Linked DNA regions of Nothobranchius furzeri. The protein of the gene in region 3 purifies or fractionates together with the protein of the main gene of each other region. This does not show direct contact. Links are inferred from orthologs where the notes say so. Each region holds a gene or a part of one and is shown on either strand. Other genes may lie near its edges. The genes, in order: rint1, scfd1 and use1.

The links.
Region 1: the proteins of use1 (region 3) and rint1 purify together in Homo sapiens (co-immunoprecipitation; 3 studies listed by BioGRID and IntAct, counting the BioPlex papers as one, with this or other methods). This does not show direct contact. The link is inferred for Nothobranchius furzeri from reciprocal best matches to the Homo sapiens genes USE1 and RINT1.
Region 2: the proteins of use1 (region 3) and scfd1 purify together in Homo sapiens (affinity purification with mass spectrometry; 3 studies listed by BioGRID and IntAct, counting the BioPlex papers as one, with this or other methods). This does not show direct contact. The link is inferred for Nothobranchius furzeri from reciprocal best matches to the Homo sapiens genes USE1 and SCFD1.

The regions. Positions count from the first base shown.
Region 1 is NC_091741.1:64,277,932-64,282,334, forward strand, and holds the start of rint1 (RAD50-interacting protein 1), read right to left. Parts: upstream 2,882-4,403; 5' UTR 2,847-2,881; coding exon 2,637-2,846; intron 2,161-2,636; coding exon 2,035-2,160; intron 1,830-2,034; coding exon 1,714-1,829; intron 1,601-1,713; coding exon 1,427-1,600; intron 1,334-1,426; coding exon 1,196-1,333; intron 1-1,195. UniProt on the Homo sapiens protein: Involved in regulation of membrane traffic between the Golgi and the endoplasmic reticulum (ER); the function is proposed to depend on its association in the NRZ complex which is believed to play a role in SNARE assembly at the ER.
Region 2 is NC_091758.1:18,055,959-18,059,606, reverse strand, and holds part of scfd1 (sec1 family domain-containing protein 1), read left to right. Parts: intron 1-1,373; coding exon 1,374-1,453; intron 1,454-3,540; coding exon 3,541-3,603; intron 3,604-3,648. UniProt on the Homo sapiens protein: Plays a role in SNARE-pin assembly and Golgi-to-ER retrograde transport via its interaction with COG4. Involved in vesicular transport between the endoplasmic reticulum and the Golgi.
Region 3 is NC_091748.1:57,902,477-57,906,600, forward strand, and holds the start of use1 (vesicle transport protein USE1), read left to right. Parts: upstream 1-1,195; 5' UTR 1,196-1,251; coding exon 1,252-1,350; intron 1,351-4,124.

The DNA.
Region 1 (4,403 bases), on a different chromosome or scaffold from region 3:
AAACTTAAGGAATTTGGGTGTTGTTTTGGACCAATCAATGTCTCTTGAAGGCCACTCAGAAACAATGGTTCGAAACTGTTTTTATCATTTAAGAAATATCTCCAAACTGCGAAGGTTGGTGTCAAAACATGAACTTGTAATGGTCATCCATGCCTTTATCTCCTCCCGACTAGATTACTTTAACACACTTTTCACATGTTTTAACAAGAAAAACCTTGACCGCCTTCAGTTGGGCCAGAACTCTGCAGTGAGGCTTCTAACTGGAGCAAACACAAGAGCTCACAACCCTAATGTCTCTCCACTGGTTACCCGTTAACTTTAGAGTTCATTTTAGTATACTGACTATAACTTTCAATGCTCTACATGGTCAAGCTCCTCCCTATATTACTGAACTGTTAAAGCCTTATGCTCAAACCCGAGCCCTCAGGTCCACACACCAGAACCTTCTAGAAGTTCCAGACTGTTGCACCCCGACTCTGGAATGATCTTCCTTTATCCTTACACAGCATTGACAGTCTGGACACTTTTAAAAATCAGCTGAAGACCCTTTTATTTAAAGCTGCTTTTACCTAAATCTTTTATTTTCTTATTTTTAACTCAAATTTGTAATAATTTTTCATTTGTTTTATGGTGTTTTATTATTTTAGACTTTATTTTTCAGATTTTAATCCATTTCTGTTTTAAGATCATTATGATTTTATGACTTTATGATTTGTTTTGATCCATGTGAAGCACGTTGTGATTTTCTGTCTGAGATGAGTGCTATGTACTTAATTACAACGGCTGTGTTGGCTGAATTTGTCTTGAGAATTCTTTGAACATTTAAAAATTTCTAGGCACAGAGTCAGGCCCTGAGAATCACAAGAAGGAACCAAGAACACTTGAATGTTTGGATAACCTTCTGAAAACTCACTCTGAATGGTGATGCCAGTGTCTCGCTAACAGAGCCCAGTGAGATACTAACTAAATAAAAACTCATGAGCAAATGCAAAACTACAGATTAAAGGTTGTGTAGAGTTAGAAGCCTTGCTCTCTCACCACCAAAGACAAATGTCAGATCATTATGGTGTCCTGACATAATGCTAAACATCTCACCTGATGAAACTAAACACATTTACATGGTTAAAAAAACTGAGCACATGAATGTGTGGAGACAGTCCCCAAGATCCTATTGGATCTGTGTCCAGAAGGATACGAGGTCTGCAGGGCCAGCAGCTGAGTCACCAGCTCCTCCACATGGCTGCTGACCTCCTGACCTGCAGGAGGTGTCGCAGACTGAGATGTTGTTGAGACAATTGGCCAGTGTAGTTGAGTCAATGCGTTTTCAAAATCACTAAAGAGGTTTAAAAAGAAAGAATCAGCTTTTACAGTAGATGAAAGAAGACAAAAACATCCCAGTCTTGGTTGGGATTTGATGGAGCCATACCTGGACAGCTGTTCTTTGATGATATTGTGCCAGAAACAAAGCGTTTTCCTGAGAAACTCCACAAGGTGGGAACATCCTGACTGGTTGAGGCCAGAGTCCAGAGCCGCCATGCTCTCTACAGCTTTTATAGCTTCCCAGACACCGTTGGTCATCAGAAACTGCTGGACTGAAGCACTGTAGACACATAATATTAACATTATGCAGCAGAAATGAGGAGCAGTTTTAAACCTCAGTGATGCATCACTGTAACCTCAACCAACATGTCTCCAAGCCTCTAATCACCCTACCTGAGCTCTCCTATGTAGTGAAGGCACTTTAGATACTTCATGCTTTTCTCCATAGAGTCTACATGGTTAAATGTCTGCCCTAGGTCATCCATCAACTGCCGGGTGCCCTGCAGGTGCTGGAAGATCAGAATATTTAACAGCATCAGTAAAACATCCCTGGATTACAGTGGGGATTGTCACAGAACACCTTAAACAAGCATAGATGATTCAGCTCAGATCGTGTTTCAGATCTTGTATGGGATAGATCAAATACAACTCTGATGTTCGTTCTGCTACTTCAGATTGAAATCTGCTCTTTTGTTGAGCTTCTGCAGTTTCTACCTGCTGCAGCTGACTGGAGACAGATTGTTCTCTCTGCAGCACGTCCTCCAAGGAACACCGGACCTCCTCTGCAGCTGACAGGGATGCTGAGATTTTGGGAGGAACAGAACTGCACACACTCAGAACCTGGAAAGCAAAAACAATGCAATCCCATTCAGCCAGAACCTAAAGGACAAAACATTGTTCTAATCTTTCAGATTGCAAAAAAACACATTTTTATTTAATGTGGTTGAGTTCAGGTTGCAGAATAAATTAATAACCCGTGAGTTAGTGGCTATGAACCCTGACCTGTCAGCACAGTGGTCTTTGATTAAAATTGTATATGTATGCACAAGAGTTCCAGTTCTTTTAATGTTTAAAACTCTATCAAGTGAAATATAGATGATGAACTGTGAGGTCTTATCCACTGAAGCAGTTTTTATTTAGTTCATCTCCTTCATTGTGAAAACATTTGTTTAAATCTTATTTAATGTGCTTTAGGTTCACACCTAATCCACCAGAATGCCACCAAACAGCTGACTTTAACCACAACAGCTCGCTGTTACACACTAATTCGTTAACTTTAAAAACACCGTGTAGTAAATAAAGTTCAGGTTCGGTACCTGCTCCTCCACCAACGCCGTCTCTGTTTTCATTTTCTCCAGCAGCTCACTAACGGCTTCTAAAGACATCAGTTCGCTGCCAAACTCTTGCTCCAAAAAACCCAGTCCGTAGTCCAGCTGGGTCCCAGAACCATCACCGAAACAGTCCGGATCCTGATCCATGTCACGGACAGAATGCCGAAAAGACTCTACAGCTGGTACCGTCGCCATCTTTATTTTTGACAACACCGCCACGCTGCACAGTGAGGAACAACTCACCACTGCCCCCTGCTGTCGGGAAAGGGAAGGTACCAAAACAACACCAGACCCCTATCCTCTTGTCTAAAAACACTAGATGTTTCGGGTTCTTTAACCAAACTTTATTTACAGTGAAAACATTACAGAATTAAAGTATTTGCTTATAATGCAGTAAACAACAGACAACACAACATAAACAGTAATACCAACAATGAAAAGGTACATAAATAATAAAAATTCAAATTAATGACGCTGAGGTCACCAAGGCGATTCAAAAGCTGCTCAATGGCAATGTCTCACGATGGATAAGAATGAGATTCACCCAGAGTTCCTGGATATAGGGTTGCGTTGAAGTGGCTCTGCGATAAACCACCAAACGATTCCCGAGCACAGCTTTGTCTGCAGCTCACCACTCCCCCAGGGATGGGTGTCAAATGCAGAGAACAAATTTCACACACCAGTGTGACAACTAATGGGACTTTGATATTACATGTTTATGTTTATTCATTTAAGAGACGCTTTTATCCAAAGCGACTTACAATTTATAACCTATAGGGCATGTTGGGATCTGTTGAGGAAACCGGAGTACCTGGAGGAAACCCACGCATGCATGGGGAGAAGACGCAACTCCACGCAGAAAGGCCACAGCTGAGTTTCGAACCTGCAACCTTCATGCTGCGAGGCAACAGTGCTAACAACTGTGCCACCATGCAGCATGGACATCGGGGGCAGTCTCGTGGATTGGCAGACCAGGTCGGTGGTTCTTTCTATTTAAAAAGAGGGAGCACAGGGTGTGTTCCAACTAAAGGGGGATCACACTACTGGGCCTCCCTGGTAAAGTCTATTCAGGGGTTCTGGAGAGGAGGGTCCGTCAGATAGTTGAACTTTGGTTTCAGAAGGAACAATATGGTTTTGGTCCTGGCTGTTGAACACTGGACCAGCCCAATATGTTTTGTAGACTTGGAGAAGGTGTTCAACCGTGTCCTCCAGGGAGTCCCGTGGGGGTTACCATGAGAATATGAGGTACCAGCCCCCTTGATACGGGCCGTACGGTCCCTGTATGACCGGTGCCAGAGCTTGGTCTGCATTGCTGGCAGTAACAGCGTTCTGGGTGATAGTTGGACTCCACCAAGGCTGCCCTTTGTCACCAATTCTGTTCATAACTTTTGTGGACAGGATTTCTAGACACAGCCAAGATGTTGAGGGAATCCATTTTGGTGGCCCAAGGATCAGGGTCACTGATTTTTGCACGATGTAGTCCTGTTGGCTTCATCGGGTCGTGATCTTGAGCTTTTGCTGGAGTAGTTTGCAGTCGAATGTGAAGCAGCTATGATAAGAATCAACACCTTGACCAGTACCTTGTCTTTCAATAGGTGTTAAAACATGAACACATGGCTTCATTTTATGGTCTCATTGCTCACTTTTAAAGTTTAAATCATCTGTCCTCGTCATTTTTATCCGATCTCCTCAACAATAACACTCCCATCAACCAAGCTGTCACCTGATACCCAAGTGAAAATCCGAAGGTGA
Region 2 (3,648 bases), on a different chromosome or scaffold from region 3:
CAGATGTTTCAAGCCTTTATTTGTTATATTTATGAAGATTATGGCTTACAGCTTGTGAAAAATGTGGATACGCTTCAAGAACCCTGTGATGTGCAAGGTGTCTGGTGTATTCGGTGTTTAGGTTTCCTGTTATTATTGAACAGGTTCACTGAGAAAGCATTTTTACTCATTATTTTTGAAAATGATCAGTCACTCTGAGTTTAATGGGCAGGCTGAACGTGAAACTAGCCTTCTATCCCTTTTTCCATCATTAGCTTCTGACAGATGGACAGAAAAACGCTCTGTTCAGAAAAACTTGACAGATCTACGTCACACTGTCAATTAACATTCACAAATGGGCCATTCCCATCTGTACCGGGTCGGCCCGGGCCGGGTAGCGTAGGTTGTTTACATATCTGGGTGGCCTGGTATTTTTCCGGGCCAACCAAGACTCATTCTCAGCCCTCTTCTCGAGGGAGTCTGCTTCAGGCCGACCAGGGCCGACACACCCACTGCTGACAGCAAATTCACACCTTCCATTAGAGCAAGCCTCTGATTGGTGGGTACAATCAGCCCATTCACACCTTCCATTAGAGCAAGCCTCTGATTGGTGGGTACAATCAGCCCATTCACACCTTCCATTAGAGCAAGCCTCTGATTGGTGGGTACAATCAGCCCATTCACACCTTCCATTAGAGCAAGCCTCTGATTGGTGGGTAGAATCAGCCCACATGGGCTTAAGACAAGGATGTGTGGAATCAACCGGGCCAGGCTGGGGCCGACTGGGGCTACCCGGCCCGGGCCGACCCGGTACAGATGGGAATGGCCCATTACTTACCCATCTTGACTCACGACGGGAAAGGCTGTTGTTGGTTTAGCTTCCAGGAAACCGTAAAGAAGCTCCACAGCACAGCAGAACAGCTCCAGGCTTGTGTCATTTGTAAATATATTAAAACAATTCAATGTTGCAGAGTAAACAAAGTCAGTGGTAGAGCTGTGTTGCTGTTAATGCTAGCCAAATATGAGGACGTAAGACTGCCGTCTTCTGCCATTTTCTTCTTCGGACGGACTTCCACGTTCTCAAACATGAGCCTCTGAGCTGTTTTCCCCAGAGAACTACTTACAAAACATTCATACCTGCTAGAGACCACTGCAAATGTGTTACAAGTATGTGTAAAGTTGATCTTTAATGTTACAGAGAAAATAATTTCACAACAAAAATAACAATCCCAGCTTCTAACATGAACATGAGCAGAAGCCTGTCTGCTGTCTCTGAACAGCTTGAGTTTAGGATGGAGGCTGTTGGATTAGCTCTTCCAGTGTTTCTCACTCACCGAACCTTTAGTTGTTTTTAGACTGAAGTGTAATAATTGTTTTGCGGATGTGTGTTTCAGTCTGACTTGGAGCAGTATAAGAAGGCGTTGGTGGATGCAGGCTGTGACCTCTCATCTCTCAACTACATTAAACAGTGGAAGTAAGTTTTCAGATGATCAAATCATCGCTTCACCAGATTCTCTGGGGTTACAAGTGGCATGTGGCTTCATTAGCACTCAAACAGTGATGTAGTATTGTTTAATAATGGAGACACCGCAGACTTCTCCGCGCTCTTTTGTCCTCTCCTACATGCTCGGAGATGAGCTCATGACATCACAGACTGCCCATGTGCTCAGTCACGTCAACATTCCTAAGGCAGTGTGGAACGAATACGGCCAGGCTGGGGCAGACACAGCAGAGCAGAGTGGAGCCGATGCTAGTGTGTAATTGGCACGTCTCTGCTTCAGCACACCTGATTTGCATGGTCCCCTCAGGAGGACATCAAGTGCTGCAGATGCCTGTTAATCACTCATTCATTTAAGCCAGGTGATTGGGAGCAGGGGAACACTGGTGGTTGAAAGGGCAACATGGCATCTATGGAACATCAGAACATGGACATAAAACATCTTTGTAACAAAGTTGAACGCCAGAATGTGACATCCTTATCCACCTTTTCCCTAGCCTGCACAAATCTTTGCAGGAAAAATGCAACCTGCTTGCGGTCCAGTGTTTGTTTACATTGCAACCATAGATGGATGATGTGTTCCATTTGCACTAATCCACTTTTCATGGTCTTTTTAAATACATGAATTATGTGCTGTCACAGCTCATTTGGGACACTGTTACAATCCCTCTGCCTACTGCAGTAGAGGAGTGGAGGATGATATGAAAATCTGGCTAAAGCTAATCTCCAGTAGCATTATTAGCTACTTGTCGTGTCCAACGGCGAGGCAACGAACAATCTACAAATCTCCAAGCTTATCAGTACCTACGTAGTCATTTGTTTGGTCGTGTTTTGTTGAAAGAGGTGGGACAGCCTTAAATCCCTCATCACCGAGCTAGGTTTTAGTTTCTACAGCAGGTAAAATACAAACAGCAGGTTGTTCATGTATTACGATTGGCTAAGTACGGTGTTAAAATTTTTTTGTCTGCTTGTTAAAAGCTTAATTCAGCTAAATTCTTTTTAGGGTCTCAAATCGGTGTCTACACGGTATTATTTTTATTTCAGGTTGAGAATGCAGTCAGACAGAAAGGCCAGGTCCTCACAGCTAAAGGGGAATGCAGGCACACTCTCTCTGAGGATAATGTTCCAGACAACACTCTTGTAGCCACAAATTTAACTTTCTCTGATAGTTAGTGCCACTGCGAACAGCACTTCCTTTTACAGGGGCAAATCGCATCTGAAATCCTTTTGAAATGTTCAGATAAACTGCTGCGAGAAACAAAACCTCACTATGCAAGTCAGTGGCTATGCGCTACTTCCAGTATCTCACCGGATGTTGCTCGCATCATCGTTTTTACATAAGCAGGAAAAGGCTGGATATTATTTATAATTATAACAAATCCTGTTTAATAAACAGCTTTTTTAATAAGTATCCCTGCTTTTCTCTCCTACTGGTTGAAAATGGAATTACAACTGTCATAAACCACCTTTCCGCAGCCTCCTGTAGCTAACGCTAACAACGAGCTAACTGATACTAAGCTAGCCACAAAGTAAAAAGATCCACACTGGTGGACAAAAAAATATCATTTTTTACAGGTTCAGTAGCAACAAAGCCAGTTCACCTGTGATTTTGTAGCCTCCTTTAGCTCCCTCAAACGGGTGTAGGCTGCGGCGAGGTTCACTCTGGTTTTAGCTCTTTTTGTCACCACCAGAGACATTACTCTTACTTTTATTTCCAGGCTCAGCCATGATGCCAACACATAAAGCCAAATTCTTATTTTTCTTGTAGTTTTTATTTACGGCTGATAACAGTTGTATGTGCTACAGTAAACAACTGTTGCCGTAAAGCAGGATGAGACCTCCCTCAAGTGCACCCACCCGTGCTCCTAAATTGTAAAGTGTGGTTTCTGTTCAGCAGCGAACTAAAGAGTGAAGTTAGTAAAGTCTCTACCTCAAGAACCTCTGAAATCCGTTTGAAAGCAATAGCTCTTTGGTGTTGCTTTAACAAGCTCTCTGCATAATAAAAGGAGACAAATTACTGGAGCAGTGAAGCCGATTGTTTTAACTATCTTCTTTTATTCTAGGGCTTTTACCAAAATGGCCACCGCCCCAGCTAACTACGGGAACAGTGGAGTCAAACCGATGGGGTAAGGCAGTAACAATTTAACCCTCCCACACTCCTAATGGTTGTG
Region 3 (4,124 bases):
GAAAACTTAAGTGAGATCATTGCACTATGAAAAGATTTGTGGCCGATTTAGAGTACAGATGAGTTTGTGCAGATAAAGGGACATTGAGGAAGATTTCTGTCAAATCCATGTATCAGATCAAGAGAGCAGCTGCTAAAAGGTCATTACAGCAGCAAAAAGATATTTGAAGCTGCTGGTGCATCTGGAGTCCTCCAGAGTCTTGAGATCTGTGCATAAACCTCTTCGACCACTGCTGACTAATGTTCACAAGCAGACACGGCTGCACTGGGCAGAGAAATACATTTTCAAACAGTCATGGTGACTGATGAGTGTCGTACAAACCTTGATGACCCAAATGGATGGAGTAGTGGGTGGTTGTTGAACGGCCACTGTTTTCCAACAAGGCTGTGACATCAGCAAGGAGGAGGTGGAGTCATGTTTTGGGCTGGAATCATGGGAAGAGAGCTGTTCGGCCCCTTAGGGTCTCCAAAGGCGTAAAGATGACCTCTGCATGTATGTGGAGTTTCTGACTGACCACGTTCTTCCCTGGTACAAAAAAATGAAACCATGCTGTGATAAAATCATCTTCATGCATGACAATGCATCATCTCATGCTGCAAAGAATACCTCTGCATCAGTGGCTACTATGGGGATAAAAGAGGACACACCTCTCTCTCTCTCTCTCTCTCTCTCTCTCTCTCTCTCTCTCTCTCTCTCTCTCTCTCTCTCTCTCTCTCTCTCTCTCTCTCGAACAATAATTCACTGTCCCTTCAGCCATTCAAAATTAGATAGATATATCTACCTCGGGTTGTGCACAGATGTTAACTAACACAGTTTAAAAGCTTATTTTCAAAAAGAAAAGTTTTGTTAAAATTTTTATTTAAAAAATACTTCTTCTGGACAATCTGGTAATCTTGTGGCGGTCTAGTGGCATTACACGAAACGTCTTAAAAAACGCACCAAAATGCTAACATAATGACCACACACACACACACACACACACACACACACACACACACACACACACACACACACACACACACACACACACACACACAGGTTGTAAGAAAAACAAGCTGATTTTGGTGTGACTTGCTCTTTAAAAATTCCTCAAATTTTTCTAATATTTAATACTGATTTCTTTTGCAAATTATATTTATAAATTATAATAATTATTGACGTGTCTCACATATTTATATTGCAGCGTGGAAGGTTGAGGCACCGCCTCCTCGCTTCAGTCGTTTGACGTCAAACTGCCGCGACACTGTGAACATGGCTTCTAGGTTGGAGATAAATTTTATTAGATTGCTGTCTCGATGTGAATCCATGGCTTCGGAGAAGCGTGGGGAGACTGAATGGAGGTTAGAGAAGGTAGGAATGCCTCCAGTGAACTGTTTTAACATGAAACATGTCTGTGTGACCTTTATCTGCTCTGTTGTTGTTAGCGGTGCAGCTGTTAGCCACGTAGTCAGACAGCAGACTCGCGATTTCTTATTATTTCTAATCAGCAGAAAAAAAAAATATAATATCGAACAGTGAGCCAAGAAATTAACTATGAATATGTTCCTTGTTTATTTGACTTCCTCATGTCAAAATACTAAAACTAAAACCATCAAACAATTTATTTCTGTTGTAATAAAATAATAACTCCTCCTTGAACCGTCACCTTATCGTGGTGGAGAAGTTTGAGTGCCCTAATGATCCTAGGAGCTATGTTGTCTGGGGCACTTTGTGCCCCTGGTAGGGTCTCCCATGACAAATTGGTCTTAGGTGAAGGGTGAGACAAAGAACGGTTCACAGGATCTTTCATGGATGAACTATCAAGGGGTCGGAGTACCCGGCCCGGAGGGTTACTGGGGTCCCACCCTGGAGCCAGGCCTGGGGTTGGGGCCCGTGAGCGAGCGCCTGGTGGCCGGGCCCAGCCCGAACCCGATACATGGGCTCATCCAACTGTGGACCCACCACTCGCAGGAGGAACATGAAGGGTCCGGTGCAGTGTGGATCGGGTGGCAGGCCGAGGCGGGAGCCTTGGCGGTCCGATCCCCTGACAACAAAATTGTTTTTTGGGACATGGAACGTCACCTCGCTGGCGGGGAAGGAGCCGGAGCTTGTGGCAGAGGTTGAGCGGTACCGGCTAGATATAGTCGGACTCACCTCGACACATAGCATTGGCTCTGGAACCCAAGTCCTTGAGAGGGGTTGGACACTCTCCTTTGCTGGAGTTGCTCCGGGTGAGAGGCGGAGGGCTGGGGTTGGCTTTTTGTTAGCCCCAAGACTCTCTGCCTGTGTGTTGGGGTTTACCCCGGGGGACCAGAGGGTATCGTCCTTGCGCCTTCGGGTCGGGGAACTCGTCCTGACTGTTTGTGCTTATGCGCCAAATATCAGTTCAGATTACCCACCCTTTATGGAGTCCCTGGGATGAGTGCTAGATAGTGCTCCATCAGGGGACTCCATTGTCCTGCTGGGGGACTTCAATGCTCACGTGGGCAATGACAGCTTGACCTGGAGGGGTGTGATTGGGAGGAACGGCCCGCCTGATCTGAACTCGAGTGGTGTTTTGTTATTGAACTTCTGTGCAAGCCGCAGTTTGGCCATAACGAACACCATGTTCAAACATAAGGATGCCCACCGGTACACTTGGTACCAGGGCAGCCTAGGTCACAGGTCGATGATAGATTTTGTAGTCGTATCATCTGACCTGCGGCCGTATGTTTTGGACACCCGAGTGAAGAGAGGAGCGGAGCTGTCAAATGACCACCACCTGGTGGTGAGTTGGATCAGATGGCAGGGGAAGATGCCGCGTAGACCTGGCAGACCCAAACGCATAGTGATGGTCTGCTGGGAACGCCTGGCAGAAGAACCTGTCAAGACGGTCTTCAACTCCCACCTCCGGCAGAGCTTTGATCACGTCCCAAGAGCAGTGGGGGACATAGACTCCGAGTGGGCCTTGTTGTTTGGTGGCAGGAGAATCTCGTCTCTGCTTTTGCGGATGATGTGGTCCACCTAGCTTCATCCAGCTCTGACCTTCAGCTCTTGCTGGGTAGGTTCGCGGCCGAGTGTGAAGTGGCTGGGATGAAGATCAGCGCCTCCAAATCTGAGACCATAGTTCTAGACCAGAAAAGGTGGCTTGCCAACTCCGGGTCGGGAGAGAGGTCCTACCTCAAGTGGAGGAGTTTAAGTATCTCGGGGTCTTGTTCACGAGTGAGGGTAGGAGGGATCGGGAGATCAACAGGCGGATTGGTTCGGCATCTGCAGTGATGCGGACGCTGAGCCGATCTGTCGTGGTGAAGAGGGAGCTGAGCCAGAAAGCCAGGCTCTCGATTTACCGGTCGATCTACGTCCCAATCCTCACCTATGGTCATGAACTTTGGGTAACGACCGAAAGAACGAGATCACGAATACAAGCGGCCGAAATGAGTTTCCTCCGTAGGGTGGCCGGGCTCAGCCTTAGAGATAGGGTGAGGAGCTCGGACATGCGGGAGGAACTCGGAGTAGAACCGCTGCTCCTCCGGATCGAAAGGAGTCAGTTGAGGTGGTTTGGGCATCTGGTCAGGATGCCTCCTGGACACCTGCCTGGGGAGGTGTTTCGGGCATATCCTGCCGGCAGGATGCCCCCGGGTCGACCCAGGACACGTTGGAGAGATTACATCTCCAATCTGGTCCGGGAATGCCTTGGGGTCCTGCCGGAGGAGCTGGTGGAGGTGGCCGGGGAGAGGACAGTCTGGAGCTCCCTAGTTGGGATGCTGCCCCCGCGACCCAGACCCGGATAAGCGGAGGAAGACGACGACGAATAAAATAATAAAACCTCGGTAGATGGTCTCCTACCACTGTCCCTGTTAAAGTCTGCCTGGTCATTTTTATATATATTCTTTCAGTAATTATGTCAAAAGTTCCTATGTGCATAAAATTGTCATATTTTTTCAGGACAATCTTAGCTTTCAATATCTGTAAACATTTTTCAGTTATTGTGTTTATTACCTTTTAAACAGGATGCTTTGTATATTTATAACTACAGTAAATTATTTTGTTTAAATTTTTTTAATAAGTAGTGTTTAACTTTGGTCCCCGAGGGCCACCATCCTGCATATTCTAGACGTTTCTCTGTTCCAACACACCTGATTTGAGTTGGCAGGTCATTAACAGGC